Linked DNA regions of Xenopus tropicalis. The protein of the gene in region 2 interacts with the protein of the main gene of each other region in a pairwise test. Links are inferred from orthologs where the notes say so. Each region holds a gene or a part of one and is shown on either strand. Other genes may lie near its edges. The genes, in order: ppm1b and erbb3.

Region 1 (3,823 bases), on a different chromosome or scaffold from region 2:
CCAGACATTAACTGGCTCATCTCAGAAATGAAAATTTGTAGCCAGCTAATATGGGTAGCTTAGTATGTGGAAAATATGTTTTTTAAGTAATCCACAAGGCTGGACTCAAAAGAAACCAACTTTTAAAAGACCATTTTTGTAAAGCCGTTTACATGTTTTCAGATGTCAAGACAAACGATGGCAGAGATAAGAAACCCGCAGTTCTGTCGGTCCATAGAATTGTCCTTTCTGGTAACATTATCAGCAAACCTTCTAAAGCTAGGTTGTAAGGGCCCATGATTTACAATGTTATGGGCATTCACACATTTATCTAAAAACAAATAAAAAATTTTTTTACAGTCTTGGAAGATTTGTCTCCATGCTGTATATAAACAGTGTTTCTGGTTAAAAAACTGTTTTGAGTGGTAAATTTCCGTTTGGGGGCAATTTTTTTTTACAAAAAGAGAGTGCAAAGTAATTAAAAAATGCCTCTTAGTTTGGTGGAGGTGGGGTGCTGGGTAAGAAGCACAGCATCTGATACCTAGTGGATCAATAGATAAAACAGGATTGGGTAAAAGTTGAAAAAGAAAAAAAAATCATGCAGACTGCACATCAAATCAAGTGAAAGATGTTACTCCATTTCTGGGTTACTTCGAGTAATTGGGTCATCCACAGGTTTACTGGAGGAAGAGGACGATACTGAAGGTCCAGATGTGGATTCTTCACCCTGAACTTTAACTAGCCTGTAACTACACAGCATCTCCTCCAGGAGTTGACGGTAGTTCCCCCTATGATTAATTCTCAGTTCCCTGAGAGCTTCCACCAACTTCCCATGCGTTGAATTTTCCTCTGTTCCAGTGGGGTCCTTATTTAAGATTCAAGACCCCAGTGTCAGTAGGCAAGACAAAAAAAAATTCTACACATTCTAAAGAAATATTGCAGAAAAAAAAACCAAGGTTACAAACGCAACAAAGCAAATTGACTTCATTAACCTACTTCTGCAAATAGCCAGCACTTCTTAGAATAAATTAGAACAGTTTATAGTAATTACCAGCCAACCATTTATAGATGTTGCATAAAATATCATAAAACTTACTACTTTTAATGGTCATAGGATGTTGAACTAATTGTACTTCCCCTAAAAATGTTCCTGGTGCAACCAAAATGACAAAGAAGCTCATGACAAAAGGTTGCACAACAGCTATACGTGACAATGCCCCTTTAATATTTAGAATATTTAATAGTGCAAGTACAAAAAAAACCATAACCAAATAATAAAAGTGATGAAATAAATATGCACTGGCAAACACCAAGCACTGGGAACAAACTCTGCATATCTATTAGAAGGGTAGGGCCTAACATCACAACTTACCCCATCGCTCTCTCTGTGTGGATTCAACCTATTATATACCTCTTCAATAACACTGCGTCTGAAAAGAAAAAAAAAAAGATTAATTCTTGGCCTAAAACTATTTTTCTAATATTCTCCCACAGTTAGACCCAGAGTTCAACCCACATCAATAACTAACTGAACAGTAAGTCTTATTGCTGTTGACAACTTTTATTAGCAATACCCCCTGCCTTTTCCATACTTACCCTTCTAGTCTATAAGAGCCCTAACACACAGGTACACTCATCGATTCCTTTCAGAGTCACACCAAGCAGGGCACTAGCAGGTTAGGCGATTATCAAGTGAAAATATATTACTGGGTGTAGGAAACTCCCATAGGACTGAACAGAAAAGAGATTTCAAGCTTTCTGTCCCCAACCCAACAAGCTGGAAAATAGTTCAGGCTACAAAACACTTAGAATTACCCATGTTTTATTACCCTAATTTAACAGCATCAGCTTCTAAGAAGGACAAAGTACCTTTCTCCCTGCATAAAGACTTGCTTTTGTTTCTCTATTACAAGCAGCTGAACGACATCTTCTACTGACTGTTACCTAGTGTGAAGCTCTGCCCCATTTTGCACTCTCCATCTATGAAGGCCTCAGAGAGGTATGCTGGGCATGCTCACTGCCTCTGCTCCAATTAAAAACAATCAGGCACGAGCAGTAGGAATCTCTCTGGTGTTCAGAAAGCAAGAAGGGTGGAGCATCATGCTAGACACGGAAGTCACTAGAAGAGCTGCTGTTCAGCTACTCGTTATAGAAAAACAAAAATCTGAATGCAGGGAGGAAGGTATGTTATTTTAGAGATTTAAAAAAAAAAAAAAAAAGTTTACTTATTCTTAATTTCTTGATTTATAAAACAGCAGTGCCATAGTTGCCTGGATTCCTCGCTTTCTACTCAATGCATAATCAGCTAATCATAAGGTGCGGCTGGGCCAAATGGTGTCCAGCCCAGACAGAACAAGATGATGTCTATATCCGAACTCACACACTATGAACATCTCTTTTGTAAGGATGACTGCTGTAAAATAAAGGTTACTTACTTTGCTGCCAAGCCTCCACCTGGCGGTAAATGCGGGACGTTCTCTGCAGCTAAGATGCGCATTACATGGGCAAGATCTGGCATTCCTTCCTCCCCAGCGTTGGTCATGATTTCTAAATAAGACATTTCCAACATTGTTAGTTACACAGTATTTGTGTCAGGCTTACACAAGGAACAAGTTATATACACATGGAGGCAGACAATGTATTGTACATGGACCATTAACTTTAACATGATTTATACATGATACGAATTTATGTAGTGCTGATCTTTAGTTTAGTTTCTTCTGCTATTTATGGAAATCTAGCAGAAAGATTTCACATATGGGGCCAGGCAACTGCAAGCAAAGTGAAGAAAGTCAGTTTTGTCATTCACCAGAGCTACTAAATGCCCGGGCAACAAATTCTAAGGATCTCTGTTACTTAACCGATTTACCAAGAAGCAGGTGACCAGACCAGTTGCCCGACCTCACACAAAAAGGTCTTCAACTATGTGACCCCCATCTTTTTAAAACATCCTATGCATTACTACTACTAAATGCAACCCCCACTTTTTCTGCTTCTGGGCTCTGGATTCCTTATTCAGAAATCCTCCTGTCTTACTGAACAGGAGGAAAAGCAGGGACCCCACAGTAACTGCTATTTATCATTAGCAATGAGTTTAGGTTGCTGCAGACAGCATCTGTTTCAACAGGGAACGAGACAGCATCAGAGCAAAATACAGTTATGTATACAGTTATTTTTATAGCTTAGCGTATATGTTTGGGGGGGGGGGGGGGCATGAATAGTAAAAAGACTGTCTGCCTTTTAAAGAGATAGTAATACTTTACTCATTTACCAGGACCTCATAATTATCAATTAAATAAACCAGCTGGCACTCACTCACAAAACTGCACAGCAGATCCTGTCATGTCTCTACATCTTACAAAAAGTTCTGATTGGCTGAGGACAAATGTAAACAATGTCCCTGCTTGTCACAACTTTGCTCTGTGCCCCTAATGCAAAGGCATCTACAGGTATGGGGCCTGTTATCCAGAATGCTTGGGACCTGGGGATCTTTCTGTAATTTGTAAAATCTCCATACCTTAAATCAGCTAAAAATCATTGAAACATTAAATAAACTCAATAAGATTTTCCTCCAATAAGGATTAATTGTATCTTAACTGTACTGTTATTACTGTAGAGAAAAAGGAAATAATTTGTAAAAATTCTAAATCATTTGATTATAATGGAGTCTATGGGAGATGGACTTTCTGGATAATGGGTTTATGGATTATCATCCATTATTATTATTATGCCATAACTGTAATTAGACTTTATTGACAGAAGCAAGGCAGCTGGATCACTTTAAGCATGGTTTCCCCACTGGATTCCCCAATGCCATCTGTTATTCATATGCATGGAAATCCCA
Region 2 (4,397 bases):
AAACGAAAATATAGTACAAAATCTGCACAGTTCTAAAACTTTTAGCATTCAAACTCAATCGTACTTTAATGAATAGGCTCCTTAATATCAGCCTCATTTATTAAAGCAGTGCAAAGCGCAATTGTTGGATGCAAGTAGCCATTGTTTTTGACCCACAATCTAGAAAAAAATTTTCCCCAGAGTTCCAGCATAATTGTGACCAGTTTGCGCAATATATGCACTTGCACATAATTCATAAGAACATGCTAGATGGGAACATTGGCACTGTCACTAGTTGTTAGGAGCAATTATGAGCATTGATGCAGGCTCAGTAGTGATTTTTAGCTGTGACTGTAAATGAGACTGGGTATGTGAGTACTGCTATTAGGTTTGAGTGATTATGTACTGGGGTTAAGATACATAGTTATTATGCATTAACCCGCCATATTTAATAAACAGTGCTAAGTTTGCCCAGGAGCAGTAACCAATAGAAACCAATAAGGTGATTGCTTATAAACAGGTGACCAATAAATGCTTCCTGCTGATTGGTTGCTATGGGTTACTGCTCCTGGGCAAAATTAGTGCTTTTATTACATCACCCCCTAAGTTAGTGTGTGAGCTGCAGTGAACCTTCTGACAGAAGCATTTTTTGAACATAAGCAGGGGATAAAGGGCAGAGGTAAGTCACTACGACGATAATGAAAACAATTACAAATATAAAACAAATATAAAACATTTAATTTCAAACTCTGTACATCATTGGCCCCATGGGAGAGAGGCTTTGTTCAGCTGCAAAGTTCATGCTTTCCACCAGGATCTCCAGCCATCTTAGAAAACAAAAGGCAATTTTGTACATACCTACAGCATACCCCTCGCTGCCCGGTTGGGCTGTACAAAAATAACATATAAAAATATACTCTGGAAACAAACAATCAAAGCTATTTTACAAAGTATTAGAAAAGCACAGATTAACTGGTAGGGCTGTAGGCATGGATACATGAACAGGGCAACTGTCTATGTGGTAGGGTTATGTATACAAAACAGTTCCTTCCTTTACATTTGATGATTACATACGCCAAAGTTACCTTGTTAAACGGCATCCAAGGTAGAAGTCTCCTCTACAAGAAAAGGCATATTCACTGGGGGTCCCAAGTTGTTAGGCAACCCCCTGTAATTCTACTTGCTTACTACAGACCCCCTGCTGGGACTACTCTTTTTCCAATGCAGCAGCCTAGGGTCCTTTTCTTCTCTGCACTGCTACTCTAATGGTGTCCCCAGCATCCTCTGCACTTGCACATGGGCAGTACAGGAGTAGGTGAAGAATTTCTGTAAGGCGCATATGATAAACCAGGGCTGCACAGAGGATGCTGTGGCATTGGAATAGTATTGCAGAGAATACTAAACGTTTATATACTAAGAATTAACGAGAATTAACGAGAGTTAAACGAGAATACTAAACTAAACGTGCAGAGAAGGGCAAACGTTTGCTTCTGGGTCCAGAATATAAATAGGTGGTGATACTTTCATCACCTTACTTCTTTTGTATATTTTTGTAAAAGGGAAAGAAAAGTCATAAAGAAGATCCCCACACACCCAGAGGCTACTGTATGTTAGAATATCCTGAGGCCTGAGCTACATAGCTCGTTTTGCAGCCCTTCAGAATGAAATAAATTAAGGAATCTGTGGCTTAGATCACTCCTTGTGTCCCTACCTAGGGGAAGTACAAGGCAGTCAGAGCATGTGTGCAAAGTGCTGACTTGGGTAAATAAATGTTGTGCGAAATAAAGAAGTTAGCTAGCCAAACGTGTAAAAAGACTGGAGTGAGCAACATGGAGTGTCAGCATAATAGCCAGAACACTACCTAATAGAACCTGCTTTCAGCTCTCTAACCTCGTAGTTAATCAGTGACTTTAGGGGGGGCCACATGGGACATAACTGTTCAGTTAGAACTGATCCTTAGCACACAGGTCAGATTTAAAAGCAAACAAACCTATGCCCCACCCCCAAGTCAATTATTGGTTACTGACTACTAACAGGTTAGAGAGACAAAAGAAGGGTTGTGTTCTGGCTATCCGCTCACCTCAGCCCTTATAGGGTACATTTTTGGCTAACTAACTGCACAGCCTATCTATTTCATTTTTATACTGAATAGTTAATTTAATGCTGCAATCTGTGGATTCCAACATGGTGGCCAGGGAAAGGGAATTATGGGGCTTTTCCTTTACTAGTGCTTTGTTCATTTATGTTATTATTTTATTTCAAAGTATTTCATTTGTTCAGAGCTCATTTTTTTCCAGAGTGGAACGAAAACATCACATGACTACCAGGATATAAATGCATAATTTGCCATACCATCACAAAACAGTAAATTTTTTTCAGAAGTGATTTTTTTTTAATGTACACTATTTTACCTAATATTATGTATTGTTTTTAGGTATGTTTTCTGACAACAGTATGCCTTTAACAATATCCCTCTAAAAAAAGTGTTACAGTGTCAGGTTATATTACCGCTACTATTTATCAGTGCAGTTAGATTCCCCACTAAGTCTCCGAGCTTTATTAGAATGCCATGACTATCCATGCTTTATCCCTTCATGACAGCGTAACACTAAGGGGAATAGTTATTATAGTGTGTAAGCTGACATCACCAGTGATGTTGCCCATAGCAACCAATCAGCTATTGGATTTGAACGGTCCCTTACAAGTTAGAAAACAAAAAGAAAGAGCTGATTGATTGCTATGGGCACTATAATAAATATGCCCCTTAGAGGCCCATATGCTGCAGTTCTAAGATTCCTAATTCTTTAGGGCAATGGAGCATCTTACTGTGTGTCTCCACTTCGACAAATCATTAGTGGTTGTGTGTCTGCTTTCCATTGTAATAAATAGAAAAACACATTATATTGTATCATTGCTATGTTTTGTTTGGGGACACTATTTATCCAGTGACACAGAGTTCTTGCTGTTGTATAACAAACACCCACTAAAGAGCTAGGGACATACCCAAGCCAATATGATTGGGTTCAGACTAACACCAAACGATTCAGCCACGCACTGAAACAACTCCTAATTTGCATATTCAAATTTGCAACGAACATTAAAAATGCATCCTCTAAAAAATGTCACTTTCAGTGACTTTAAAGTGCTTTAAAGCCACATGACTGGTGGGTTGAGATTTGATTCACTTGCATGCAGGTTTAATCAGGCCCAACCACCTTTGTGTATCATAATGACCAAACTGTAAGTGTGAATAAGCTAACATTGGGACATTGCAGGGGGTCAGATGATCAGCTCTTCGTACCACACATAACTGAATTCATGTTGCTTCTCATTTGAGAGCAGAAGATAGCTCGGGGGTCATTCAGTCACTCCTGGAACTTAGTGGGAAGTTTGTTTTTTTACAATTGCATTTTCAGTTCTTATGTCATCTGTAGGTCAGTCTTAGAAAACAACCGGCTGTGCCAGTAGTCTGGATTGTCAAATGCACAGTCTTTAGCTTCTAAAGCCCTAAGGGGCTGGTGATACCCTTTTTGCAATGCCTCTCTATGGCAGGTCTGAGGAATTACTGTTGGCCTTTCCAACTGCTGGGGCAGATTGGCAACCAAGTTCATATCTTCATAGCCCTGTTTATCCTCAGTTTTAGTTTCATCCTTTACTTTCCCACTCCGGTTCATATAAGTGTACTCCTCCAGGTCGCCATCTCCTAAGCTTTCCCTACTTGTGTATTTCCCTTTTTCATTCATATACTCGTAGTCCTCCTTGTTTCCATACTCATAGTCTCCCTCTTTGTCACCCTCCGCAGGGGAGAAAGCTATGCATTCATTGCTTGCATCTCCTGTTCCACGTATGTCCATATATTCATACTCTAGCTTCTCTTTTGAGCTGGGCTTCTTTTTGTTCATGTATTCATACTCTTCATCCTCTTCATCAGTGGCATTGACCAGGCATGGTGTCAGGGATCTGGATCCTTGGGATGTTAGTGTTCCATCCCGTGAAATTTCTGTGAGTGAAGCAAGCATAGAAATGAGAATGGTGTAAATACGCAGGGGCCACAGCCAATAAAGGCAGTCTGCTGTAACCTATTAGACACCTAAGAATTCTGTGCTAGTTTGTCTCTTACAGAGCTGTACTATCCAGGGAAGGGTACAAGCTGTAAAAATGGCCAGAACTCAGTCTTTCTATTAGCCATTTACTTTTTACTCTGTTTACATATTCCCAAGCTAATGTATATTACTTTACCTCATACATACTGTTGCTCCTTCATTATTTATATAATGAAAACAATTTACCAAAAGTACTTTTAGTATTATGTAAATAGTGATATTCTGAGGTAATTTACAGTTGGTTGGTTGCCCAGAGTCCATATACCCTAACGAGCAGGCAGTGGTTTAAATGAGAGTGTGAATGAGAGTAAATGA

What was found.
Region 1: the proteins of erbb3 (region 2) and ppm1b interact in a two-hybrid assay, tested with the Homo sapiens proteins (2 studies listed by BioGRID and IntAct, with this or other methods). The link is inferred for Xenopus tropicalis from reciprocal best matches to the Homo sapiens genes ERBB3 and PPM1B.

The regions. Positions count from the first base shown.
Region 1 is NC_030681.2:18,672,498-18,676,320, reverse strand, and holds part of ppm1b (protein phosphatase 1B), read right to left. Parts: intron 2,527-3,823; coding exon 2,415-2,526; intron 1,410-2,414; coding exon 1,352-1,409; intron 905-1,351; coding exon of another isoform or gene 896-904; exon of another isoform or gene 845-895; coding exon of another isoform or gene 611-844; exon of another isoform or gene 1-610.
Region 2 is NC_030678.2:137,676,106-137,680,502, forward strand, and holds the end of erbb3 (receptor tyrosine-protein kinase erbB-3), read right to left. Parts: intron 3,980-4,397; coding exon 3,399-3,979; 3' UTR 695-3,398; downstream 1-694. UniProt on the Homo sapiens protein: Tyrosine-protein kinase that plays an essential role as cell surface receptor for neuregulins.